Linked DNA regions of Coturnix japonica. The protein of the gene in region 1 interacts with the protein of each later gene in a pairwise test. Links are inferred from orthologs where the notes say so. Each region holds a gene or a part of one and is shown in the gene's direction. Other genes may lie near its edges. The genes, in order: PSMA1, MTUS2, RAD54B, CCNH, TRIM23, TRIM54 and VCP.

Evidence for each region.
Region 2: the proteins of PSMA1 (region 1) and MTUS2 interact in binary tests that used the Homo sapiens proteins (3 or more experiments, as listed by UniProt). The two-hybrid records come from large-scale screens. The link is inferred for Coturnix japonica from reciprocal best matches to the Homo sapiens genes PSMA1 and MTUS2.
Region 3: the proteins of PSMA1 (region 1) and RAD54B interact in a two-hybrid assay, tested with the Homo sapiens proteins (2 studies listed by BioGRID and IntAct). The two-hybrid records come from large-scale screens. The link is inferred for Coturnix japonica from reciprocal best matches to the Homo sapiens genes PSMA1 and RAD54B.
Region 4: the proteins of PSMA1 (region 1) and CCNH interact in binary tests that used the Homo sapiens proteins (3 or more experiments, as listed by UniProt). The two-hybrid records come from large-scale screens. The link is inferred for Coturnix japonica from reciprocal best matches to the Homo sapiens genes PSMA1 and CCNH.
Region 5: the proteins of PSMA1 (region 1) and TRIM23 interact in binary tests that used the Homo sapiens proteins (3 or more experiments, as listed by UniProt). The link is inferred for Coturnix japonica from reciprocal best matches to the Homo sapiens genes PSMA1 and TRIM23.
Region 6: the proteins of PSMA1 (region 1) and TRIM54 interact in binary tests that used the Homo sapiens proteins (3 or more experiments, as listed by UniProt). The link is inferred for Coturnix japonica from reciprocal best matches to the Homo sapiens genes PSMA1 and TRIM54.
Region 7: the proteins of PSMA1 (region 1) and VCP interact in binary tests that used the Homo sapiens proteins (3 or more experiments, as listed by UniProt). The two-hybrid records come from large-scale screens. The link is inferred for Coturnix japonica from reciprocal best matches to the Homo sapiens genes PSMA1 and VCP.

The regions. Positions count from the first base shown.
Region 1 is NC_029520.1:14,580,474-14,583,673, reverse strand, and holds the end of PSMA1 (proteasome subunit alpha type-1), read left to right. Parts: intron 1-541; coding exon 542-621; intron 622-1,527; coding exon 1,528-1,632; intron 1,633-2,481; coding exon 2,482-2,538; 3' UTR 2,539-2,700; downstream 2,701-3,200. UniProt on the Homo sapiens protein: Component of the 20S core proteasome complex involved in the proteolytic degradation of most intracellular proteins. This complex plays numerous essential roles within the cell by associating with different regulatory particles.
Region 2 is NC_029516.1:157,076,712-157,080,211, reverse strand, and holds part of MTUS2 (microtubule-associated tumor suppressor candidate 2), read left to right. Parts: coding exon 1-434; intron 435-3,500. UniProt on the Homo sapiens protein: Binds microtubules. Together with MAPRE1 may target the microtubule depolymerase KIF2C to the plus-end of microtubules. May regulate the dynamics of microtubules at their growing distal tip.
Region 3 is NC_029517.1:114,217,223-114,220,722, reverse strand, and holds part of RAD54B (DNA repair and recombination protein RAD54B), read left to right. Parts: intron 1-1,694; coding exon 1,695-1,982; intron 1,983-3,500. UniProt on the Homo sapiens protein: Involved in DNA repair and mitotic recombination. May play an active role in recombination processes in concert with other members of the RAD52 epistasis group.
Region 4 is NC_029547.1:54,306,395-54,310,436, forward strand, and holds the start of CCNH (cyclin-H), read left to right. Parts: upstream 1-1,242; 5' UTR 1,243-1,343; coding exon 1,344-1,460; intron 1,461-1,568; coding exon 1,569-1,691; intron 1,692-3,158; coding exon 3,159-3,232; intron 3,233-3,525; coding exon 3,526-3,736; intron 3,737-4,010; coding exon 4,011-4,042. UniProt on the Homo sapiens protein: Regulates CDK7, the catalytic subunit of the CDK-activating kinase (CAK) enzymatic complex. CAK activates the cyclin-associated kinases CDK1, CDK2, CDK4 and CDK6 by threonine phosphorylation.
Region 5 is NC_029547.1:14,354,269-14,358,478, forward strand, and holds the start of TRIM23 (E3 ubiquitin-protein ligase TRIM23), read left to right. Parts: upstream 1-1,410; 5' UTR 1,411-1,448; coding exon 1,449-1,547; intron 1,548-1,904; coding exon 1,905-2,067; intron 2,068-4,210. Other genes in the region: TRAPPC13 (trafficking protein particle complex subunit 13), read right to left, coding at 1,024-1,069.
Region 6 is NC_029518.1:95,417,684-95,421,686, reverse strand, and holds the start of TRIM54 (tripartite motif-containing protein 54), read left to right. Parts: upstream 1-1,203; 5' UTR 1,204-1,270; coding exon 1,271-1,438; intron 1,439-1,578; coding exon 1,579-1,751; intron 1,752-2,144; coding exon 2,145-2,316; intron 2,317-2,410; coding exon 2,411-2,506; intron 2,507-2,750; coding exon 2,751-2,984; intron 2,985-3,070; coding exon 3,071-3,093; intron 3,094-3,247; coding exon 3,248-3,372; intron 3,373-3,455; coding exon 3,456-3,548; intron 3,549-3,687; coding exon 3,688-3,726; intron 3,727-4,003. Other genes in the region: DNAJC5G (dnaJ homolog subfamily C member 5G), read left to right, coding at 173-317, 556-638. UniProt on the Homo sapiens protein: May bind and stabilize microtubules during myotubes formation.
Region 7 is NC_029547.1:7,814,908-7,818,149, reverse strand, and holds the end of VCP (transitional endoplasmic reticulum ATPase), read left to right. Parts: coding exon 1-281; intron 282-1,204; coding exon 1,205-1,360; intron 1,361-1,720; coding exon 1,721-1,875; intron 1,876-2,276; coding exon 2,277-2,382; 3' UTR 2,383-2,742; downstream 2,743-3,242. UniProt on the Homo sapiens protein: Necessary for the fragmentation of Golgi stacks during mitosis and for their reassembly after mitosis. Involved in the formation of the transitional endoplasmic reticulum (tER).

The DNA.
Region 1 (3,200 bases):
CTGCGTTTAGTAAGACAAGAAAATGTTGAGGGCTGAGTTTGGCATAAGTGTAAATCTGCATGAAGAGGAAAACCATAGAGAAAATATTACAGATCTTCATGTCTAACATCAGCATGTTTATTAGATCTAATCAAAAGAGAAGCTGTGCTCAGAAAAGCAAAGTGAAAAGTAACAAACCTCTGTTCCATTTAAAGAATAGGAAGATTGTTTGTGTGTCAGAGCAGGTATGGTATGACATGGCAAATATTTAGGTGGTGAATTAATATGAAACAACAACGTGAAAGGGGAAAATAGCTTGATTATTGCTGCACTGAAGACAATACAGGTGCTTTCAACCTCAAATGTAGGGAAAAGCTGGTTCCTGATGATGTACTTTTTTTAGCAGCTGTGTCTTCAGTCTCACAAATACCAAAGGAGAATACATGAAAGTCAAGCTGTGCAATTTAATTTTCTGGTTCTCAGCCGAGAATGGAAAAAAGGGAAAATGAGTCTGGGGATAAGTGCCGTATTTCATAGGTACCTTTCTGGCTTCATTTTTAAGGTAATCTAAACGAGCTAGTTAAACATGGACTGCGTGCCCTAAGAGAGACTCTTCCTGCTGAACAGGATCTGACCACCAAGGTAAATGCTAGTTTTTCTTAATGAGAAATTTCACTGCCATTGTTCTCAGTAATGACTGCAGCAAAGCTGCTGTAAAGTATGGCTGGCACTGAAACCTGGGAGCTAAAAACTTTCTAGATAGCAACAAATGAAATGAAGATGATAGTGATTTACATAGTGCTTCCTTTACTATCTGAGATTTATTTTTCTTTATGGGAGAGATACCTTATTAGATAAGGGATTGTTTCCCTTTCTGCTTCATTATATTTTAAACTTGAATCTGTGTTTAAAGTGCATTGTGAACAACTGGAATTGTCAGCTTTGCATTGTAAGCACAGTCACTAATTGGGGTGGTAAGGGAATGTAATACACAAGCTGTTTGAGTATCCAGCATCTGATCATGAGTTGCAGAAACCCTAGACAGGAAATGAAGTGAGCAACTGTTGAGCAAGAAGCTTTTAAGCAGCTTTGTTACCATATTCTGGTGTTCTCTTTGTGGCTGGTCTCGCCCTTATCTATGTTTGATCTAAATTTTTCATTCTTAGCCTGCCTTGCTGTTTTCTAGAACTCTCACAATAACAACAATGCAAAGTCTGATGAAAATCAGTTTTGAAAAGTCAGGTATTTGTTACTAAAAAGAAGAAGGGGGGGGAAGGAAGGGGAGGAGGGAAAGGAAGCAAAAACCCTTGAATGGTTTTCCTGTTAAGATTTTTGAAACGTGCTACCTTTTGTAGGGAATAAATGTCCCTCCCTTTCCTTCTTGAGAACAATCTACTAAAGGGAGTTAGTCAGAATTGCCTTTCTTCCTTAAGCGGGCACAATAGCACAGGGACCCTCTTCTGCAGTGGGATGCTTTTGTCTGTTTGACAAGTGAAAGTGATTTTGCAGAGAAATGCTTCTCACTTCTGTCAAAACTTTGCTGAACAGAATGTTTCCATTGGGATTGTTGGCAAAGACATGGAGTTCACCATTTATGACGATGATGATGTAGCACCATTCCTAGAAGGCCTTGAGGAGAGACCACAGAGAAAGGTATGTGTTAAATAGAAGCGGGCTTTATTGAAAGACAGCACTGTACAATCACAGAATTGTAGGGGTTGGAAGGGACCTCTAGAGATCATCGAGTCCAACCCCCCTGCCAAAGCAGGCTCCCTACACCATGTCACACAGGTAGGCGTCCAGGCGGGTCTTGAATATCTCCAGAGAAGGAGATTCCACCACCTCCCTGGGCAGCCTGTTCCAGTGCTCCGTCACCCTCACTGTAAAGAAGTTCTTCCACACATTTGTGCTGAACTTCCTACGCTGTACTTTCATCCCATTACCCCTAGTCCTGTCCCCACGCTCTACTGAAAAGAGACCAGCCTCACCACTATGGCCCCCACACCTCAGGTATTTATAAACCTGGATCAAATCCCCTCTCAGCCTAACAGAACCATTTCCCTAAGTCTCTCCTCATAGGGGAGATGCTCCAGGCCCTTCACCATCTTAGTGGCCCTCCGCTGGATTCTTTCCAAGAGATCCTTGTCTTTTTTGTACTGGAGATGTATTGTTTTTGTTTGGCATTTAATTCTTCTAGTAAACTATCATTTTTAGGGATGTGATTTTTTAAAGCTAGAAGTTCCTACATGAAAATTGGATACACCACCGTCCCCTTAGCTGGAGACTGATGGACTTGTTGAAGTTAGTTTAGGCTGAATTAGTGGCAAGCCCTTCCTGCCACTGTCAGGCCCTTTTCCTCATCTGTGGTAGTGTTTTGCACTTTCTTTAACAGCATGTTATTGTGCACGTGGCAGAGTGCACCCTCAGGTCATCTAATTAACAGCGTTGTCCTTTGTGTTGACTGTGGATAATCCCATAACACATCTTTTCCCTCTCTTTCAGCCTGCTTTGCCTGCTGACGAGCCTGCGGAGAAGGCAGAAGAGCCCATGGAGCACTAGTTGGTGGGCGGGTTCCTCTGTGCTGCCATCCGTGTTGCTGCACTGGGGCTTTTATCCACTGGTGGTAACTGTATCCTCACCTGTATGTCTCTTATACTGACACGTTCTGAGGATTGCTTTTAAAAACGAAATAAACCAACTCACCTATCCTTAAGGAGCTCAGCAGTGCTGTGTGGGTTTGTTTTCTTTTGTCAATGAAGGGGTTGTCATTTTCTAACTAGCAGAAGATGCAGTTTTTGATGGACGCCTGCTGTGTTTAACATGTAAGGACAAGTGGGAGTCGATGACCTTTGGGAACCTGGGATCTGGGATGACCTGGGAACTGGGATCGCGGGGTGTTTCAGTGACCGCCTGGGTGTGACACTACAGCCGGAACTCCCGGCTCTGCTGCTCCTTCCTCATGGCGCTCCGCCCCTGTCGGCCACGCGGCAGAGCTGTGAGTGGCTCCGCCTCTCGTTCTTCTGTACGGAGGAGGCGCGTCCCACCGCGGCCGCCGTAGCGCCGAGGTGCCGGGAGGGAGAGGCTCCACGTCAGCCATCGCCGAAGCGGGAGCGAAGCGCCGCAGGGCAGAGCACAGCGGGCCCGGCCCCGACACACCACGTCCGACCCCAGCGGGCTGCTGCCGGCAGCACCGCAGCCTCACGGTGGGTGCGCGGCTCCGG
Region 2 (3,500 bases), on another chromosome or scaffold:
CTGCCAGCAGCAGCGCAATCCCCAAACCTATCCTGGTTCACTCCAAGGGCTCCCTCACAGATAAGGTGGATGCTGACAGTGACTGCAGTGAGAAACTGGAAGAAAGCATGGAGGTGAAACCTGCCATACCCAAGCCTAAACCCGTGAGACCTAAAATCATCACATACATCAGAAGAAACCCTCGTTCAATAGAGCAGCTTGACCCTTCATTTGCACCAGCAGGGCTGCCATACGGTACCGCAGCATGCACAGTGCCCATCTCCACAGAGCAGAAGGCATCTGGTGGAGGGGAGGGGAAGGCCCCCAGCATCCTGTATGACAAATTTAAACCTGACCTCCAGAAGCCAAGACTCTTCAGTTCTGGGCTGGTAGTGTCAGGAATTAGGCCTCCAGGTCATCACTTTGGCCCAATGGGTGAGAAGTTTTTGCAGGAGGTAAGCAGGTGGCTTTGACACTTTTGTGTGCTGGGTTGTGAGTGTTTGCTTACTTGTTGCTGCCAGAAGTTAGTTCTCAAACCACGAAGAAGTAAATCCTAAAGCAAAGCAATACATGATCAGTAGGAATAAACGTAACCTTTTCTGGCACTGACCTTGATGTGGTGTCTGATCTGTGACTGGAAGTTGTCACCGTGTTCCTCCAGCATTTCCCAGCATACAAGTCACCTGCTAGTGTATAAATAGAGATGTTTAGATAGGAAAAGGTGTGCTGGTTGAATTTATCCTTAAATGGATCTTCTGTTTTTTTTCCAAAGAACATCTTTTGGAAATTAATGTGATTTGCCTGCAGAAACTTTTCCTCCTTAATGGGAATCTTGGCTGGTTTTTGCAGTCCAAGCGCTAGCGGTCCATATGCATTCGCTTCTGTTCAGCTATACAGAAAAACAGGAACTGTCAGATTTCATTAGATTATATACATCATGCAGGAAAAGATTTCCTTTTGACTCATTTTAAGCAGTGTTCTGTATTGCCTACCATCTTAAATGAGAAAACACCTTTCCTGGGAAAGTCTTCCTGAGCAGCCAAAAGGTAATGGAAGTCCCACTGCCCACTTCTGGGACCTTATATCTGGTTGTGTTTCCACTTTGGTAAGCCAGGCAGGAGTGCAGGCTCCCTTAGTCCCTGCTGGGAGTTGGGCACAGTTGTTCAATGTTGATGTTGCTTGGTAGGTGGTGAAAAGGACAGGGAAGAGGGGGTTATATTTAGGTCTGTGATGTGCCCTTGAGTCTACTGCTTTGGACCTATGGTAGCTAGCTCAACAGAAAAGCTTTCTATGTAAATATCAAAGATCCCACAACTGTATTTAATTTTAACCAATTCTAAAATTAAAAAAAATAAATACAATTATTCATTTTATATACCTACCTCATTCTATATACAGTATTTATCCATGGAACAGCCTTGAAATAACACATTTGGTGACAGAGCTGACAATCAGAAGCCAGCAAATACCCACATTAAAATCTCATGTGTGACTGTTGGTTGGCCCTTCTTGCATGTTAACAGACAACTGTTCAGGTGATCTTAGAGTACAGATTTTGGTAAGAGTATTATCACATCTCAAGCAAAGTGCTTGCTGCCTTTCCCATTCAGGTTCCATAGTCCATGCCTTATGTTTTTCATCCAGAGGACAGATTAATAAAGTCACTGTGAGCTTGTCTGTGCCAGCCATTACTAGGGTATCTTCACAATCTCCCTGCAAGTTGAGAGAAAATTGCTGGATTATTACCATTTAACTGAAGTTAAAACCAGTGTAATGCAGGCTGTGCAGCTGTCTGGCTTTTTATGGGGTGACATGACCTTCATTAGCTTGGAGAAGAGAAGGCTCCAGGGGGACCTCATTGTGGCCTTTCAGTAGTTGAAGGGAGCACATAAACAGGATTGGGGAATGGCTGTCTATGAGGGTGGATAGTGACAGGACAAGGGGGATTGGTTTTAAACTGAGACGGGGGGGGTTTAGGTTAGATATTAGGGGGAGTTTTTCACACAGAGGTTGGTGACACACTGGAAGAGGTTGCCCAACGAGGTTGTGGGTGCCCCATCCCTGCAGGCATTCAAGGCCAGGCTGGATGTGGCTCTGGGCAGCCTCGTCTGGTGGTTGGTGACCCTGCACATAGCAGGGGGGTTGAAACGGGATGATCACTGTGGTCCTTTTCAACCTTGGCCATTCTATGATTCTCTGATTCTCTAGACCATAGTTTTCTACAGTCCATACTGTTGCTATTTGGAAAATCAGGCAACATTAGCTAACACAGCTGGAAACTAAGGACCAATTTCTGCTAACTGTGGAGGAGTATGTACATGAAAAGTACTGAGGTTATGGCAGGTATGCAGTGTGGTTTGCTCTACAGTAGAGTTAGCAGGATAACATTTATTTTCTGGAGAGGGACCAAAGCATCCTATCCCCCTGTAAATATGACTGAGTGGGTCTTTCAAGTGAAAGGAAAGCAATTGGAATGGGTTGAGGTATATCAGAATCACCCTGGCAGACTGGCAGTGTTGAAGACTCAAAGCTTTTGTAGACAAGGATATGCTGGGGCAGGATGACTACTCTACATCAACTTTGTGAGGGAAATATTCACATACCGCCCCATTTCACATATCCAATTTGGGCTTTGATCAGCATTTTTCTTTACATAGCTATGATGAGGCTGTTAATAGCTGCTATCAATCAGACCTGTAATCTCTAAGCAGCCATCAGCTTGCTAAGCAGTAGGCACAATTAAATGCCCCCTTTGGTGCTGTGAGCTGGAAGTAACAGGGAGGTGTTGTCTTGGGCATGACCTGTCTGAGGAAGGCTCGAGGGCTGTCTCTGAGGCTTTAATGTCTGACAGTGTTATAAACAAAGCAACATGAAGGAAGGTGTTAAGCAGCCTCACCTCCTGGCAGGGCTGCCGTATCTGCTCAGAGTTACCCAGGCTGTGGAAATTCCCAAATGGTTCATGTGTTTGCTTGCAGACTTTCCAGCTCTTTCTGACAAGTTCATTAAATGGGAGGAGTGGGGAATGCACAGTACAGTTCTGAGCTGAGCTTCCTGTTAGTGGATGGGCTGTACTAATCCAAATCTGTTTCAGCAGCTCTGTAGTGGCCTTATGATCAATAGTTGCATATGACTCTATGGGAACCAGTTAAATCCTGCGTTTGAGGAATTCATTGTTTAATACAAAAGAAAAAGGAACGTGTCTTATTAACAAGTTTACGTCTCTTTGTGAGCTCAGATCTCTAAGAACCAAATCTATTTCCTGAGAGACAGTTGGGTAAATCCTTCTTACTTCTTTCAGCTTGAGAAAATGTTTTATCCTTGTGATTGTTATGTGTGCATAAATCTGTGTTACCTGTAGCATGCTGTCAATAAAGATGAAAATGAGGTGACTGGAGGTTTCATTAAGCTGACCCAGTTTATTAGAATTGCCTGCGTTCTATATTTAGGGATTTTCCCTGCTCCTCATAATGAAGTACTTGGCATAAATACATTTGTTATATTTATTGGCAGCCAATATGAGA
Region 3 (3,500 bases), on another chromosome or scaffold:
GAATAACAGAGAAGAGGCTTTTTAGATATTTTAGAGTTATCTGTACCAAAGTTGACCACAGGATGAGCAAAGATTAGAATTTTTTTTTGCAGTGAGGGAGATGGAAAGAAAGCTTAATGTTTCTTACATATAAAGCAGATGCATGGGGGAGTCTGGAGTAGGCTGTGTAACATTCTTCGCAGAAGCACCAAATGGTGCATAGTCCAAGGAGACGATCTGGAAATGGGGCTGCACTAATTCAGCAGAGATGCTAAAGGAGGCAGGAGTTGATTTTGGTTGCTCTTGTACTGCATTGGAGAAGGTGTGAGAATTAAGAAGGTAGACAGGTAAGTTTCCTGTAGACGTTCCAGTCAGTACTATGGGAACTGGGAATGTTTGAGCTTGGATCTGTACTTTACAGCCAATCAAGCAACTAAAACCATTATCTTTGTTAGAAAGACAAAGAAGAGCAGCATTTTCCAGCCAAAGCCAACTGTGTAGCAATTTTTAGTCTTGCAGTTTTAGCAGCAGCTGCTGCTGTAAGACACAGTTTGGGTTGTTATCAGAGTTAAAAATAAGACTTGCAAACTGTAGGCTGCAGTCAGTTTGAGGTAGTATTTTTTACTGAAAGAATAGCAAGAATTAGCATTGCTAACTAAGCTGAGCATATTTAGTAGGGAGTTTGGATTGGACAGTGTTTCTACAAGATATAATTTGATTAATTTGGAGGCCGACTTGGGTACTCTGCGCTTTTAATTACAATCATGACATTGTGAACCTTGTTAGCACCACACACTTTTAAATCAGAGACTTAGAAGTTAATTCAAATTCAGTTATAGAGAAGCAATATAAGTATAGACTTGCTTGGGTATGTAAAAGGCAGAGAGAAAGAGAGCAATGCCTGGAATGCATCAGCCACCACCCTGTTGTGTCTTCTTGAATTAGCAGAAAACATAGTAGGAAAACAGATATTCTGATTCCCAGTGCTACAATTTTTTGTGTTTATTTGTGCCAGGGAGCACAGCAGTATCAACGTCACTAATGCTGATCTGCTCTAAGAAAAACATAAATGCACCAATTGTAACCGATTGTACACCAAGTGTAACTTTAAAATTTCTTCAATTATTCTGAAGGTACTCTGAGTGAGGGGTAGTGGTGTTTATCTCCAAAACTGCATTTAAAACTAGCAGTTTTACAGTGAATGTGAATGAGCTTCCAGAATTACTATTTTTAAGTGGAAAAAAAAGGATTTAAAGGAAGGTTTTGGTTTATTTTCTACTTAGGCACACCAGGGCAGGATTTAAGAAGGAATATGGAAACCTAAAAACAGCTTTGGCTTTAGATTGTTTTTGAGGCCAGACAGCAGAACTTCTTGCTCTTCTTCTCTGCAAGTGTCCTAAATTCTTAATAGTATATTACTAAGAATCTAGGAAACCCTCTCTTTTAATTTACTGTGTGTTATGGAAATAATTATTTCAGGCAGCTGCATAAACATTTGAGCTTTGTGGATTCACCTTTTGTCTTTCTTAGGTTCACATCTACCCAAAAAGCCCATCCTGACTTAGAACTAAGCTTTTCAGTCTGGAATTCAAATGATCTTGCACAGAGATAGAACTATTGACAGTTTTATTAATCCTTCGTGCAGATAAATACTGATGTTAAGGAAGTAGTATTTGCTGTGTTGTTCTAATTCCTAAATTTTTATCTTCTTTTAGGTACTGGATATAAATCTAAAGAGTTAGACAGTCTTGAGGAAGGTCAAACGCTGATGATTGGAGGAAAAGAAATTGAAGTGATGGGTGTAATTTCAGCAGATGACTTCAGCAGTGGCAGGTGTTTTCAGACTGGAATAGCGACTCATGCAACAGTCCCAACTGCTTTATCTCAAACTACTGTGAAACAATTCTGTAAGCCAATCAAAAGAGCCTGCCAACCCAGTACTAAAGAGAATATTCTCCTCAATTCTCAGAGCTGCAAACCTCGTCACAATCCAAATGAAACAAGTAAGGTTCAAAGTTTTAAGCTTATTCAAGCACCCTTTGGCTCTCAAGAAAGTTAAGTGTCTAACCAGAATTTTCACATTCCTTACTGTATTACTGAAGTATTTCTGAAATACAGTGGCGGTTTTTCTGTCAACAAAATATTAGGATTTTATCGTGTGTTTCTAACAAGTAGAATGCTCTGCACTGCATCACTTTCGCTCACAGATGTTACAGATGGCTGTAGAAGCAAGTGGTTTCTGAGTGGTTTCTTCTGTAGAAGTGGTTTCTGAGAGTTCTGCCAAGAAAAATGTGTATGTCATTCAGAGAAACAATCTGACATATACTAAAAGTTCTAGTTGAGTTCCAGCTTCCCAGTGGGGTCAGTAATAGAGCAGTTCAGCCAAATGTGGATAATTGCTCCTGATGCTGCTTGATCCGTAACAGCCAATGAGTGTAACTTTACTGCCCCAAACTCAACAAGGTATGTTTTGGAATGAAAGTTTTTTTATGTAATACTTGAACTACCCTGTACTGAAGAATCATGAGAATTCTTAAATGACATAGGTTACTCTGAAAGTAATGCCTCCTACTTATTTCTGTGAAAACTACAACAGATATGAAGCACATGGTAACACTATCAGACAGAGCAAATTATGAGCTTCAGAATACTATTTTTCAATGGAGTCACCACCATTGGCCACGCATTTTTGCCAGAAATGAATTGTAGCCTGCATGCCACACTTATAAATTGGCTGTCATATGGCTGTTGTATGGCTGTCCAGAACATGACTTGTCTTTCACACTGCTGTTGTCAGTGTTCAGATGTACCACTCACCACTTCACTGTGCTAACACCCACTGTTAGCACTGTTAGCACATCCACAAACATTCAACAAGTGTCAATGAAGGCCTGTGGCTACAATTCAGTGGCACACCTTTGCTTCATATGCACTTCCGTGCCAGATGCTGTTTTGTCATACTGCCCCTCTGCTGCCATCTGTTGCATGGCAACAACATGTGATGAAATATTGGTGGGAAGCTTCAGTCTCTGCTGCTATACCACCAACATCTGCCTCTGACATCATAGGCCAACATAATAAAATAGGAGACGTTACTTTCAGAGCAGGCCTTGTAAATTCTGCTCATGGCTTTATCTTTCAGATGAAAAAGAAAGATGATTTTAAAGAAATATTAAAAAGGAGAGTTCTTCTACATTATTTCTATAGTTATAGCTCTGTCCAGCTTTTTACCTCATATCTTGACAAAGCTGCTACTTAACAACTGTGTAAATAAACAATGATATGTTGATTATATAGTAATTAGCGATATCATTGGCACTTCCATAAGTGCAAACTCATTAGCACTGTCTTCTAGTTTGAATTCAGCTTGATTATGTTTGGTCTAATGAGGCACCTTCATGACGATTCTGCATTAGCTTTCTAATCTAAAATCTAGCAAAGAGCTGATATATTCTGTACTCAAATGAACTTCTTTGTTGTTATGCACTGCTCTGTCAAAAACTAAGTCTTATTCTAGTACT
Region 4 (4,042 bases), on another chromosome or scaffold:
CATTTGAGGTTAGGCTTAAAAGGAAATTAACTAACTTCAGACTCAGTGGAAATATGGGAAAAATGAATTCTGTCTCTTTGAAATCACTATTGAATTATCACATTGAATTAAATTCAGTTTATATCTCCTTTAAAGAATCAGCATAATTCTTTTACATTCAGAGTCCACTGCATAGAACTTCAAATTTTTTTGTCATTAAAAACAAACAAACAAACAAAAAACAACAGCAAATACAAGGTTAATTTGCATCAACTTTAACAGAAGAATGAGAAAACTGAAGATAAATGGCATAGCCCTTGTAAGATGGTAGATCAAGAAAAGTGGTCATAGTTCCTAATTCCAGGTAAACTTAATTGCATTACAGGAAATACTTCTGTCATGAAAACTGGCAAAAAAAATCTCTTCTAGAGGTGGCATACATTTAGTTATGGCTTGAACATGGAAATAACATCCTCTTCTCTGGCTTGTAGATGACACAGTCTTTTTCCTACGTGATTGTAATAAGGGGCTTCCTTACTGTTGGCCTTCTTTGTTGCAAGCACACACTGCCAGATCATTTTTTCATCAGCCAGTACGCCCAAGTCCTTTTCCATTGGAATCAGGGGAGAACCATACGACTGGCAAAGTGGAAGGACTAGCTAACATGACAAGTTGTTAAATCACCTTCATAGGGAAATTAATGGAGAATATACATCAATCTTGCAGGGTACAATTTAGCAACAATGACACAAGTCCTGGCATTATATAGGAGAACAAGGTGGAAGAGGATCATTTATTCTGAAATATTTAATTGAAAAATACCGAAGATTGATTTCATTTGGCATAACGCAAATGATTCCTCACTCTTTCCCCCCCATACACATATCACCATTTGATGCTGATAGATTACATGGTTTCATAGCTACACTGATGAAAATGAAACTGAAATGATCATTCCAGCATACTTCAGAGCAGTGTTAAGGAGCTGCATTAGGAGGGGGTTGTCAGCGCTGAGCTCTGCCCTGTGTGACAGCGACAGGGCCAGAGGGAACGGTGAGAGAGGGCAGCTGGGGGTCAGGGACAGGCTTTGTGGTTATTAATAACAAATACATGAAAATGTAACAATGCCCGTGTATTTCTCACTCGCACCGCTCCCATTCCCTTCTCCCATCTGACGGCTGGACTGCGTGCCCTCATCCCCACACACAGCTACTACCACAGCCCTGCCCCGCCGCCATGTTTCCCCGCCCCCTTTGCTGCCGCGCTGGGCGTTGCGCTGTTCCGCCCCACAGCTCCAAGGGCTCCGCGGTGCCGGTTGCGCGCTGCCTGTCGCGCCGTGGCAGCCGGCTCGCGGCGGGGCAGCCATGTTCTACAGCAGCACGCAGCGGCGATTCTGGACCTTCCGCAGTGAGGAGGAGCTGGCGAGGAGCCGGGCCGAAGCCAACCGCAAATTTCGTAGCAAAGCTGTTGCCGGCGGGAAGGTGCGGAGCGGGGACGAGGGGGGAGCGGGCTGGACCGGCTCTGCGGGGCCTCAGGGGGAGAGGGGCGGCCCCAGGCCGGGTATCTTCAGGTCGGCGTCTTTCCCCCAGGTGCAGCAGGGTGAGTCCTTCCTGCTGGAGGCCCACGAGGAGCTGGCGATATGCAAGTACTACGAGAAGAGGCTGCTGGATTTTTGTGCCGTCTTCAAGCCTGCCATGCCGCGGTCTGTAGTGGTAAGCAGAAGCGTTCTGTCGCGAGGCGACCCCTGCTTCCTCACGGCTCTGCCGACCGGGAAAAGCGTGGTTCCCTCGGTGGTCCTGTAGGAGTTGAGCTCCGTAGGCCTGCTGGGTCCCTTCCAGCTTGGGGTGGGTGTTTGTAGAATCACATAGTGGTTTGGTTTGAAAGGACTTTCAAAGCCCACCCATTTCAATCCCTCTGCTGTGGGCAGGGCTGTCCCCCCAGCTCAGGCTGCCCAAGACCCCACCCAGCCTGGCCCTCAGCAGTGCCAGTGCCTCACCATTCACAGTTAAAAATTTCCCCGACTTCTAATTAAAATCTCACTCCTTCCAGTTTAAAACGACTCCCCCCTGCTCTGTCACTATTGGGCCATGTAAAAAGTTGGTTCTCCTGCTAGTGAGCTCCCTTCGGGTACTGGAATGGCACACTGGGGTCTCCCTGGAGCATTCTCCAGGCTGAGCGAGCCCAGCTTCAATCTGCCATTGTAGGAGAGATGTGTTCTGATCATCTCTATGCTCTCCCTCTGGACCCACACATCTTGAGTGTGTGACCCCAGTCCTGGGCTCTCACAAGGGCAGAGTTGACTGTGACAGGTATGTCTCTTTTGCTGCAGCTCTGGATACTGTTGGTCTTACAGGCTGAAAGTGCGTTGTGCTGGCTCAGTACCATTTAACTTCATTCTTTCCTCTTCCTTAGGCAGAGAGTAGAAACTAACCTAGAACTGAATTTATGATATAGTTTTTTCTTTGCGCAATGATGTGCATTTGAGTACAAAGCAAGCTATCTCAAGAGCCTGTATGGGCAATAATCTACAGAGCATATAAAAATGAGTTGTTCAGTGACTTTGCATGAGTGCATTGAGAGGGAGGGAAGAAGGAGGGCTTAGAGCTGAAGCAGGGAATTGAATTGTGCTTCACTTGTCAGCTTGTTCAGAAGCATCCCCCCAGAAGTCCCTCTTTTTGGCTGCTGTGGTGAATAGTAAAAAGGAGTGTCTTGTCTGTATGTGTTTTGGCCATGCACAGTCGGCTGCTGGTGCTATGAAACCCATCCTTATATTTGGGAATTGGCCCCTGTAAGGTGTGTGTGCGGAGTCAAGCTTCACTAATAAGTGGCTGGAAATGTGTGCTGATGGAGTTCACGTTAACTTGGAAACTTGGCAATAGTGGACTGAAGTATTTCATTTTAATATGAGATGAGATTGTCACGAAGGTATTCTAGACTATTCACATGCTGTCTTCTTAAAAATACATATAAAAATGACATAAAACTGCTATGGTATAAAGTTTTTGCGTGCATAAATGAATTAGACTTTAAATGACTTTAAGTGACGTGTTTGTGCATCTGGTGTGCTAATAGTACACATTCTGACTTTCTCTGTTTCATGATTTTTTTTTTAAATTATTGTTTCTTAATCCATTTTTACTTCAACGTTTAACTCTTTCCTTCTCTTTTTGAAAATCAAGGGAACGGCTTGCATGTATTTCAAACGTTTTTATCTCAATAACTCAGTGATGGAGTACCATCCTCGGATAATAATGTGAGTTTTCAACACATCATGAGTTTCTGTACCTATCAGAATAATAGAAGTACAACCTTATTTGCTAAGACACTAAATAAATAGGAAAGGAAATTGGAGACCTTAAATGCAAGTAGAGTGTGGTCAGTTTCCATTTCCACTTGGAAAAGTTTATTCTATTCTGAATATAGTACTTTAAAAATTTTTAAATAATAATAATAATAAATGTGCACAGAACTTTTGATAAGAGGATGGATGCTGCATGTATTAATTGTTTGCTTTTTTTTTTCTTTCTTTCTCCCAAACTACTCAAGGCTAACGTGTGCGTTTTTAGCCTGCAAAGTAGATGAGTTTAACGTGTCCAGTGCTCAGTTTGTTGGTAACCTTCGAGAAAGCCCTGTTGGACAAGAAAAAGCTCTTGAACAGATACTGGAATATGAACTACTGCTTATTCAGCAGTTGAACTTCCATCTTATTGTACACAATCCATACAGGCCATTTGAGGGAATTTTAATTGATTTGAAGGTAATGCTGTTTTATCTGCTATGTACTTCATATGTTAATGCAGTATAAATATGGATTTTATGTTTTTGTTTCTGCACTCATAAAGATGTAGATTCTAAAGTGATAGGCAGATGATTTCTGAAAGGAGGTGTTTTTTTGTTGTGGTCTTTAAATCTTATTTTTGGGATGATATGGCTTGTTACCTTTCTGCTTTACAGAAAATTGTTAAGTTTTGTGTGTTGAGCTCACAGACTGTAACAGGAATAGCTACTTAACTTTCCTAAATATTTCCTAGACTCGGTACCCATTGATAGAAAATCCTGAAGT
Region 5 (4,210 bases), on another chromosome or scaffold:
CAAATTCCTTAATCATGTCATTGTCAATATTTTGTATAAAATAGGGAAAATGTAAAGATATTCAGATATCCTTCTGATTTCTATTTGCAAAATATACAGCCTGGGCAGTGTATCAAATTCAATACAAGCCCAAGGATCCTACTGATTTCTTGCAAGCAAACTGTCATGCCATACAACTTGTTCCTTTGTATAAGTTACTAACAAAATGTGCTGGTAGTAGCAGCTGACAGTATTTCCTGCACTCATGTTTTGGCTTAGACACTGTCTGTGCACATGCATGAAAAAGTGGTTGCTGATATGTGAATTACGGTTAATAGATCTGACTATAAGATGCTGAAAACCCTCCCAAAAAACACTGTGAAGAAAATAAACAAACAGAATATGGAGTCTAACATCATCTATGCACCTCCACTGCTTTATGTAGCTGAGCCATCTCACTTAAAATACACACGCAGATGAGGCTTCAGCTGTTCCCTACTCCACCTTAATAGCGATGCTTATTTCCAACAAGCACTGTTCAAGAGGAAGGTAGATTTACTTCCACTGACTGCAATCAGGGGCAGCTACATTCAGGGTTTTCAGTGCTTCAGTTCCTAACTCGATGGCACCAAAGTGCCTGTTGGCACAACCAGCTTCTTTATAGAAATCTGACCATTATTTTTGTTGCTATCAGCTCTAGCTCTGTGACCTCATGAGATCTACCAATTTTTTTCTCTCAATCAAGAATCTGAATCAAGAATACAAGCCGGCGGCTGCTCACTGAGGGTAAAAGCCATAAAAGGAAGAAAAATCAGGAAACTATAATGTTAAAACATGAAAAAAGAAAAATAAAATAAAAAAAAAAAAAGAAAAAAGTAAAAAAAAAAAGAAGTTAGAAGTGCTGAAGCCTGTGAAGATCCCGGTTCGCCAGGCCCGTGGCGCAGCCCTCCTCCTCCCACCCGTCGCTCCCGAGCCGTCCTGTGCCTCCTGTGCCTCAGGGGCAGCAGCTCGGCCCCGGGCCGCTCCCAGGCTCAGGGTCGGTACCTTTCAGTGCCAGCAGATGCTCCTGCTTGGGCTGGTTCACGTCCATGGTGCAGCCTGAGGCCCGAGCGCCGCAACCAGCCGAGAAGCGCGTAACCGCAGCGCGGGCAGAGCGAGCACCGCTGAACCCGGAAACAGCTGCTCCACACACGCCCCGTCATACACCGCCACGGCGCCACAAACTACAACCCCCACAGGGCCTTGCGCCCGCTCAGCCCACATCCCCCGTCCCGAGGAAGGCGGGTCCCGCGGGCAGCCCCGTGGCGGTGCATTCTGGGAGCTGTAGTTCTGGAGGGTGCCCAGGCGGCGGCCTCGCGGAGCACGACGGGAACTGCAGTTCCGCTCTCGGAGGAGGCGCAGGAGAGCGCATGCGCACACTGAGGAAGGGGTGCTGTCTGCGCGGCCCGCTGTGCTCCGCCCCGTCCAAGATGGCGGCCCTGGCTGTAAACAAGGCTGCGGCTGCGGCCGGGCCGGACGGCGGCCGCGGAGCTGGGAACAGCTGGGGCCCGACCGGCGCCGCCGTGAAGGTGAGGCGGGGCCGCTCGCTGCTCTCGAGCCGGTGCTCTGCTGTGCTGTGCTGTGGCGGAGGTGCCTGCTGGGCCCGGGAGGAGGCGTACCGAGCGCTCTGCAGGGTTTCCTCAGGCGGTGTGTGCCGCTGCGGTAGGGCCTCGCTGCTCCTCCATCGCACCGCGGGGCTCCGGTGAACGGCTGCGGGGCGGGAGGCGCTCGGGGAGGCCCCGGGTGGGGGCTGTGTCCCTGCTCCTCGCGGGAGGGCTGCTCCGTGCTGCTCCGTGCTGCTTCCGTTGTGTTTTTGTCTTGTTTCGTTGTCTTGTTTCCCCCCCCCCCCAGCCTGGAGACAGATGGTATCTTTTCTAAAATCGTAGGTTCTCGAGTGCGGAGTCTGTGAAGATGTGTTCTCTTTGCAAGGCGATAAGGTTCCTCGGCTGCTTCTGTGTGGCCATACTGTGTGCCATGACTGCCTGACCCGGCTTCCCCTTCACGGCAGGGCTGTCCGCTGTCCTTTTGATCGGCAAGTTACTGAATTGGGTAAGAGAGCTTAGGCCTGAATTTGTTAAGACCGAACAGAATGTTTAAAAGACCAGCAAGCCTTAACAGGAAATGTATAAAGGCTGATTTGAGTTTGTAGGCTGGCAGTGTGTGGTATCAGAATTTTTACTGTTGATAGTTTTGATTTGGCTGCAAATGGATGAGAAGGGTTTAGTACAGTAAAATGCATGGCTAGATAATGTGTGTGGATAGTACACAAAACCAAATAAGATGAATGTACTAGTTGTATTTGTTTTGCAGCATTCCTCCTGTACTCTGAAATGCTTTTTTTTTTTTTTTTTTTTTTTCCACTGAGAGGAGTGAGAGAGATCTCATTAAGATTAGGTAATAAGTTTTTATCTTCTCCTTGAATATAGGCTTGCAAACACCTTGTTTGTGAGCCTGTGTTTACAAAGTGACTGGTCTGTTTTAAATCCCTGTTTAATGATTCTTGAGAGGATATCAGTTTCCTGTTGTCCTAAACATTAAGTAGACCATACAGTTACGTAAGTTGTTTCTCTGTCAAACAAATTTGCCTGGATTCACAGTGGAATGATAACAAACCTGTTTGTAAAGTATATGGTAATTCTAAGGGTGATAGAACTTAAATTGGCAGGCTGTCTACAGGGATTTTATTACTTTAGAAATGTGTCTCAAAAGATCAGATATGGTGTTTATTCCATAGTGAGAGTTTATTTCAGGCATATGCTAGTGATTGTGCATTCAACATAGAGTTAAAGAAAGGACAAGTTACTAGAAGAATTTGTGTCAAGGTTAACTTGTGAACAGAGCTGTCTGCAGTAGCTTTGAATAGCACAGTGGATAAAAATATTAGGATGGCGGAGAATCCATGGAGCAGGAGATATCAAATGTAGTAATGCATGAAATAAATGTACAATTATCAAATCAGCATGAATACGTATTTACTTTGAAGTGATAGTCTGCTAGAGTTAAAGAAATATTAAATGGAAACAAACTCAGAAGAAACATCAGCATGATGTGAAAAAGTTTTGTTTGTGGTAGGAGAGGTGTGGATGGTATGTGATTGAAAGAGGATTGAAAGAAGTTTATTTTTTTATGTGACTGTACATCTATATGGGGTTTATGTATGTATGCTTTAATAGGGAGCGTGTGTTAGTCTTGCTGTTGTGAAACTTCAGCGTGAGCCAGCTGCTTGTATCTTGTAAATGGGGAGCAGAGCTTTTTATTGTAAGGGGGCGTTGTCACTTTGTGGCTCTTACTGTGTGATTTCCGCCTGACAATTGGAAGCATCCTACAGTAATTTTTTATTTTAGTTTCAGTTTTAACCAAAAATTAAGTTTCTTCGTCTTACGTAACAACTAGTGGTTTCTGATGGAACAATGTGAAGTGTTAAATTTGCAAGGCTTCTATAGAAAGGTAGTGGGAAGAAAAGCTGAAGCTTTCATTTCTAGGATAGTAGGCTTGCAGCTTATTGGATGGTTCTGGAAAGAAGAATGATATGTTGTGATCAGCTGTTGCTCAAAAAAAAAAAAAAAAAATTAGCAAAACAACCTGAGAGTCAAAGCACTTCTGTGAATGAAAATGTTTTGCCTGATGGTTTGAAGCAGAAGAGGGTCATGGCAACATTTCATCTAATCTGTTCTGTAAGTCCTCGGGGAATAGTAGAATCATAGAATCACCAAGGTTGGAAAAGACCTAAAAGGTCATCCAGTCCAATTGTTCACCCATTACCAATAGCTCCCACTAAACCATGTCCCTCAACACAACATCCAGTCTCCCAGGGTCTCCCCCAGGGTCCCAGGGTCGGTGACTCCACAACCTCCCTGGGCAGCCCATTCCAGTGTCTGACCACCCTTTCTGAGAAGCAATACTTAAGTCCAGCTTGAATCTCCCCTGCTGCAGCTTGAAATCATTCCCTCTAATCCTATCGCTAATGACATGAGAGGCCGACCCCCAGCTCACTACAACCTCCCTTCAGGAAGTTATAGAGAGCAATAAGGTCTCCCCTGAGCCTCCTCCAGGCTGAACATTCCCAGCTCCTTCAGCCTCTCCTCATACGGCCCCATTGTGCTCCGGACCCCTCACCAGCTTGGTTGCCCAGCTCTGAACATGTTCCAGGGCCTCAATGTCTTTCTTGCAGTGAGGTGCCCAAAACTGGACG
Region 6 (4,003 bases), on another chromosome or scaffold:
GGCCCTGGGGTCTGATAGTGGCCCAGGGGATCTCCATGGCAGCTGGGCCCTGTGGTCTCAGAGCAGCCCCATGGGTCTCATGGCAATCCCAAGCTCTTAGGGCATATTGGGGGTCTCGGGGAAGCCTCGGGGGTCTCTGGGAAGCCTCAGGCTGTGACATCCCATCCCGCAGGCCCTGGCGCTGTGCTGTGGTTTGCTGACCTGCTGCTGCTGTTTTTGCTGCTGCTTCTTCTGCTGCGGGAAGTGCTGCCCACCCCGCGAGGACGAGTCCTATAAGTACGTCGACCCCAAGGACCTGGAGGCGGACGATGGTGGCGGTGAGTTGGGGTCCAAAATGGTGACCCCCCCCACGATGCTCCCGGCTCACAGAGACCTGCAGGGGGGGCTGCACCGGGCTCGGGGGCTGGTGGGACACGTGGGTTGGGGGCTCTCTCGGTTTCCTTAACAGAGGAACAGAGACATGAGGGCCGTGCTGGTGCCAGGGGCAGCCCCGGATCGCTGCCAGGACCCCAGGACTCCCTCCTGGTTCCACTGACCCACACATTTTCTTTCCAGACCCACAGGTCCCGGTGGAAGCGCAGCCCCCCGCAAGCAACGCCCAGCCCCTGCCTGCTGCCGGAGCCAGGAGCGAGGCATAGGGCCACCTATGTGCCGGAGGGGGGTGGGGGGTAAAGCCTCCTCCGGGACCACCGCCGCTTCCCAAGACCCCATCGTGGGGTGGGGAGGGGGGTGTACAATCTCAGGTGAAACCGTCCTACAGCGCTGTGACTGAGACCGGTAGCACTGTAACCCCGGGGCCGGACCCCCCTGACGGGAGCTGGGTGCCAAACGCTGCTCTGGGGCTGGTATGGGGGGGGAGGAGGAGGGGTCGGAGAGGGGCCTCCCGTCGCGCCCCACTCTGCCTCGCCGTGGGGCCGCACCGCGCTCGTTATGGGGCTGGGACCCTTCAGGCACTTTCCGTGGGTTTGTATATGTTATATGGGCACCATTAAAGGATGATGGGGGGGAGCTCGGCGGTGTCGCTCTCTCGTCTCGGAGCGGCGGCTGTGGAGCCGGGCTGGGGGGGGGCAGCGCCGTGCCGCTCCCGGGGGGCGTCGGGACGGAGTGACCCCGGCGGTGGGACGGCCGCCCGCCGTGACTCAGTGTCACCCGACGCCGCCGACAGCTGCGCGGCCCCGACGGGGCGGGGGCGGCTAAAATTAGCGCTGCGGGGCCGGAGCGGGGCAGTGAGGGGCCGGAGCGGTACCGGAGAGGTACCGGGACCGCGGCGATGAACTTCGCCGTGGGGCTGAAGCCGCTGCTGGCGGAAGCGCGAAGCATGGAGAGCCTGGAGAAGCAGCTACTGTGCCCCATCTGCCTGGAGATGTTCAGCAAGCCTGTGGTCATCCTGCCCTGCCAGCATAACCTCTGCCGCAAGTGTGCCAACGACATCTTCCAGGTGCGGGGCGCAGGGACCGGGCTGTGCCCGGGGTTGGGGGCTCCGTACACGGGAGGAGGGGGGATCTCTGTCTCGGAGCGGTTCGCTAACCCCTCCTTCCCCCCCTGCCCTGCTCTCTCCTTTCCCCCCTGCCCCCCCAGGCCTCCAACCCGCTGTGGCAGTCCCGGGGTTCCGGCGCGGGGCCGTCCGGGGGCCGGTTCCGCTGCCCTACGTGTCGCCATGAGGTCCTGCTGGACCGGCACGGTGTGTACGGGCTGCAGAGGAACCTGCTGGTGGAGAACATCATCGACATCTACAAGCAGGAGTCGGCGCGGTGCGGGGCGGGACACGCGTGGGAGGGAGCCCGTGGGGATGGGGGGGGGGTGATTGGGGCTAAAGGGGCTCAAGGGCACCGTGGGGTGAGGTGGGGCGGGGGATGCCGTGGCTTGTGTGGTATGGAGGGCTGTGCAGGGGACACGAGGGGGAATGAGCCTGGGTGGGGGGGTATTGGGGCTAAACTTGTGGGGCTGGGGGTGCAGTGAGGCGGGGGATGCTACGGGGCAGAGGTGTGCCGTGCCGTGGGGCCGTGCCGTGGGGCCGTGCCGTGTGCCGTGCCGTGGGGCCGTGCCGTGGGGCCGTGCCGTGGGGCCGTGCCGTGGGGCCGTGCCGTGGGGCCGTGCCGTGGGGCCGTGCCGTGGGGCGCAGCGCCCTCTCCCTCCCGTCGCAGCCCCCTGCACGCCAAGGCGGAGCAGCAGCTGATGTGCAAGGATCATGAGGATGAGAGGATCAACATCTACTGCGTCACCTGCGAGGTCCCCACCTGCTCCATGTGCAAGGTCTTCGGTGCTCACAAGGACTGCGAAGTCGCCCCTCTGCAGAGCATCTTCCAGGGCCAGAAGGTGGGTGACCCCCAGAGCCGGGGGGGGGGTCAATGGAGCGGGCGCGGTGGGAGGGGTTTCCCGGTGCGACCCCCGACGCCGCTCCGCCCCCCAGAGCGAGCTGAACAACTGCATTTCCATGCTAGTAGCGGGGAACGACCGCATCCAGACCATCATTTCCCAGCTGGAAGATTCCTGCCGCAGCACTGAGGTGGGGCTGCCCTGTGTGTGCCTTCCCCCCCACACCCCCCCCCCAGGCCCCGCGTGTGGGGTCTGCGTGGTTCGGGACCCCCACCCGGTGTATTGTGCCCACATGGTGGGATGCTCCTGGGAGGGAAATCCCCACTGCAGCCATGGAACGCGGGTGTCCCCAGGGCACAGTGACACAGGGGTGTCCTGTGGGGCCGGGCTGGGAGCGTGGCAGCCCCCTGAGCCCCCGGGGGGGGATCCTACAGGAGAACGGCCGGCGGCAGAAGCAGCACGTGGGGCTGCGCTTCGACTCGCTCTGCAGCATCCTGGAGGAGCGCAAGAAGGAGCTGCTGCAGAGCATCGCCCGCGAGCAGGAGGGGAAGGTGCAGCGCGTGCGCGGCCTCATCCGACAGTACGGGGACCACCTGGAGGCCTCCTCCAAGCTGGTGGAGACGGCCATCCAGGCCATGGAGGAACCTCAGATGGCCGTGTACCTGCAGGTGCCTGGGGGGGGCTGTGTGCGGGGCGCCCTGCGGCTTGGTGCGCTGCTCCTGGGATGCTGACGGCACTCTGCTTTCCCCCACAGCACTCCAAGGAGCTCCTGAAGAAGTGAGTGGGGTAGGGTGAGATGGGATGGGATGGGATGGGATGGGATGGGATGGGATGGGATGGGATGGGATGGGATGGGATGGGGAGGGGGATGAGATGAGGATGGCATGGGGGGGTGGGTGGGCAGGGCTGATGCTGCTTGCTGTACCCCCAGGATCACAGACATGTCCAAGGTGTCGATGAGCAGCCGCCCTGAGCCCGGCTATGAGAGCATGGACCACTTCTCCATCAATGTGGACCATGTGGCTGAGATGCTGCGCACCATCGACTTCCAGCCAGGTGCCAGCATGGGGCGGGCGCTGCCTTGGGGAGGGGACTGCAGCAGGGATGTCCTCACACTGAGATGTGCCTCTGCCCCACAGAAGCGCTGGGTGAGGATGATGGAGATGGACCCACAGACAGCAGTGAAGGTGCAGGGGATGAGGAGAGCCTGGAGGCACCTGAGGCTGCTGAAGGTGAGAGTGTGTTGTGCTGTGCCGTGCTATGCTGTGCCGCAGTCACCACGGTGCTGCCGTGGCTGCGGCGTGGCCATGTACGGTGCATGGTCTCACCATGTGTCCCTCTCTCCACCTGTCCAATGCTTTTTCTCTACAGATGTGGGGCCAAGGCAGAAGCCATTGAGCTCTCCCCATGGTGAGATGCTCTGTGGGGATGAGCAGGGTGTAGGGATGGGATGGGGATGGGATAGAGATGGAGTGGCAGGGGATGGGATGAGGATGGGTGGGGATGGGGTGAGGATGAATGGGGATGAGGATGGGTGGGGAGGGGGGGAGTGAGGATGGGGATATGACAGGGATGGGATGGGGATGGGGTAGCAGGAGATGGGGTGAGGATGAGTGGGGAGGGAGGAAGTGAGGATGGGGATAGGATAGGGATGGGGTGGCAGGGGATGGGGTGAGGATGAGGAGAG
Region 7 (3,242 bases), on another chromosome or scaffold:
TCTTTGATGAGCTGGACTCCATTGCAAAGGCTCGAGGTGGGAATATTGGAGATGGTGGTGGTGCTGCAGATCGTGTTATCAACCAGATCCTGACAGAGATGGATGGCATGTCCACCAAGAAGAACGTCTTCATCATTGGTGCTACCAACAGGCCAGACATCATTGACCCAGCCATCTTGCGCCCTGGCCGCCTGGATCAACTCATCTACATCCCTCTGCCTGATGAGAAGTCCCGGGTTGCTATTCTTAAAGCCAACCTGAGGAAATCACCAGTTGCTAAGGTAGGATCTGTGCTGATGCTGTATCTGATTTGATTTTGCTATGTGCTGCACATATTTCCAATGATTTGGGGGCAAACAGAGGGTTGGTGGCTGCTACACACAGAGCTTGGAAACCTTCCATTCCTGAAAGATGGAAATGAAGAGGTAGGGATAGGCTTGAGATCTAAAACTAAGTACCAGTGCAGCGAGATAGCAGTGTGTACGCACAGCAGGTCTTTATCACATAGTAGAGTTCTGCCCACGGTGCAGGAATGGGAAATGCCTGTTATGGCAAGATGGAAAGGATTCTTGTACTCTGAAAAAGTAAATGTAGAAAACGGGGGTGGGAAATGAAAATTGAAGAGGAACCACTACAGTTAATTGCTGAACTCTTTCATAGACAAAGTTATATCCCTTGCCTAGGGAGCAGGCAATAATGAACTGATAGAACGTATTAGAGAAAAGCAGATGCAAAGTGAGCACACAAACGTCCTTAGGCCAAGCTTAGCTTTCTGAGTACTGTTGGGAAGGAAAGCTTCAAAGGAGGTTCCAGTGCCACTGTGTCAGTTGAAGGGAGGAGGATGTTCCTCTTTATCTCCCTTTGCCCCATCTCCATTTCCAGTCTGAAACGGTTCCATTGATTTCTTTTGCTGAGATCTGAACCAATTGTGGCTGAAATCCTCAAGTCAGCCTACCTCTTACTGAAGGTGGAACAGAGGGGGGACATTTGTAGCCACGTATCAGGTTCTTGCTGGGTGTGGGGGGAAGCACGGCCTGCCCTACTGTGTAGCATACTTCTACCAGGAACAGGAGCCTTAACAGCTTGCCTTCTTCCTACTGGCCAAAGTTGAGGTAGCGCCTTGTTACTGTAAGATCTCAAGGCACCTCTTTGTCATTTGAGAGTACAAAGTGTAAAAGCTTTTCTTGTGTTTTGTTTTTGCCAGGATGTTGACCTGGATTTCCTAGCCAAGATGACCAATGGCTTTTCGGGGGCTGACCTGACAGAAATCTGCCAGCGTGCCTGTAAACTGGCCATCCGAGAGTCCATTGAGAGTGAGATCAGACGAGAACGCGAGAGGCAGACCAACCCTTCTGCCATGGTGAGTGGGGCACTCTGAGCTTTCCCTGCCTACGAGATAGGCAGCCCACCTCTGCCTGTGGGTGAGGGATGATGTGTTTCTCTCAGTAATCCTCAGATGAGGACGAGTAGGCTGTAGGCTCTTGGCACAGAGTGCTGAGCTGGAGCACTTTGTTCTCTTCTTGTGGGAGGGTGAGGGCCTCCTATGGTGCCTCATCACTGGCATTGCTCAGCAGGCCCCTGCAGCAGCTGTGAGTCAGTGTGCTGCAGCATCCCTCTCTAGCCCCTGCCTCAGTGGGTATTGATGCATCCTGACCCCGAGGGAGGTGTGGGCAGGTGTTGAGCTGCACGTGGCTCATCTCAGCTCTCTGTCCTGCTGCAGGAAGTGGAGGAGGACGACCCGGTTCCTGAGATCCGCAGGGATCACTTTGAGGAGGCCATGCGCTTTGCTCGCCGCTCTGTCAGCGACAACGACATCAGGAAATACGAGATGTTTGCACAGACTCTACAGCAGAGCCGCGGCTTTGGCAGCTTCAGGTAACTGAGGGCAGTGGGGAGGGCAGTGTGACGTGGTGAGCCCCAGGAGCAGAGCGCCGAGTGAGGGCAGGATTGGTGTATTCTGAAAACAATCCCTCTTCCACTGCTTTTTCCTGTTCTCCCCAGCACATACAGACAGCTGAGCCTGTGGTGGGTACAAGCTGCACTGCAGGCCAGGTGCAGGTGCTCTGTTAGTGCTCCTGAAGCCCATCAACCCTTTTTCCTTTAAAGCAAGCAACATCTGGCCCCACCATGAGCCTTATCGTGACATGCCATAAGCTTCACATTTCTCCTGATTTTCCTTCTTGGCATCAGGGTGTTGATGTGGAGGGAGGGGATTGTGCTGAGCTGTGAGGATGCTTCTGAACTGCATCTCTTCCCTTCTGCCCTGCTGTGTGCAGGTTCCCATCAGGCAACCAGGGAGGCGCTGGGCCGAGTCAAGGAACAGGAGGTGGCAGCGGGGGCAACGTGTACAGTGAAGACAACGACGATGATCTCTATGGTTAACTCACTGTCCTCAGTGGACCAAACTCCAGATCAGGCCACGTTGTACAGGGAAAATCCAACGTTCAATGGACTCTTGGCTTCTTCATTCCTCAGTCAGAACAGTGTAGGTGCACGCCAGACTTTGTAAAGGGGATGTTTTCTGCAAACACGAATCCAGACCGATGTTGAGTTGTGAAGCAGACAGTGAATTAACAAGAAGGGGATCCGAATTAATTTCTGAGAAATTTCTGTTCTAGTTTATGTGGCAGAATCAGCAGCTTTAGCAAAGGGTGCAACGCTAGCCTGTATTAAAAAAAAAAACACAAAAAACCCTACAAAAATAATAGTAAAAAAAAAGAATAAAATCCCACAAAACTCTAACTGGGCTCTTGCAATTCCTTGATTGTGTTTAGGCTGTCAGAAGCACAGAGTAGCTGTGTGCTCTCTCCGGGGCTTGCAGGATTGGGGTTTTTGCAGAGATGAGTAAATAGGGATTGTGTGCATAGGAATGAGCAATGAGGGTGCCCATAGGTTTGCTGGGCAGTTCCATGGGGATTTGGCTGTAAAGACATTTAGAAGGGCACCATCAGATGACCTGGACTTAAAGGGAAGGAAATGAGGGGTGAGAGGAATCGCAGTGTGGCAGGAAGGATGGGGCTAGCCAGGGGAAAAGGGGAGACTGGAAAAAGGAGCCAAAATTGAGAGCAGTGCTTAAATAGCACAACCAGCAGCTGGTGGCTGCAGGAGGCGGCGGTGGGAGCCCCTGGGAGGCAGAGCCTGCTCGGGTGTTCTGTCCTAGTTCAGAGACCCGTCCCAGCGCTGTGCCTGTGTGTCCTTGCACCACCTGGGTTGGATGCCATCAGGGCAGCACTGCCAGCTCG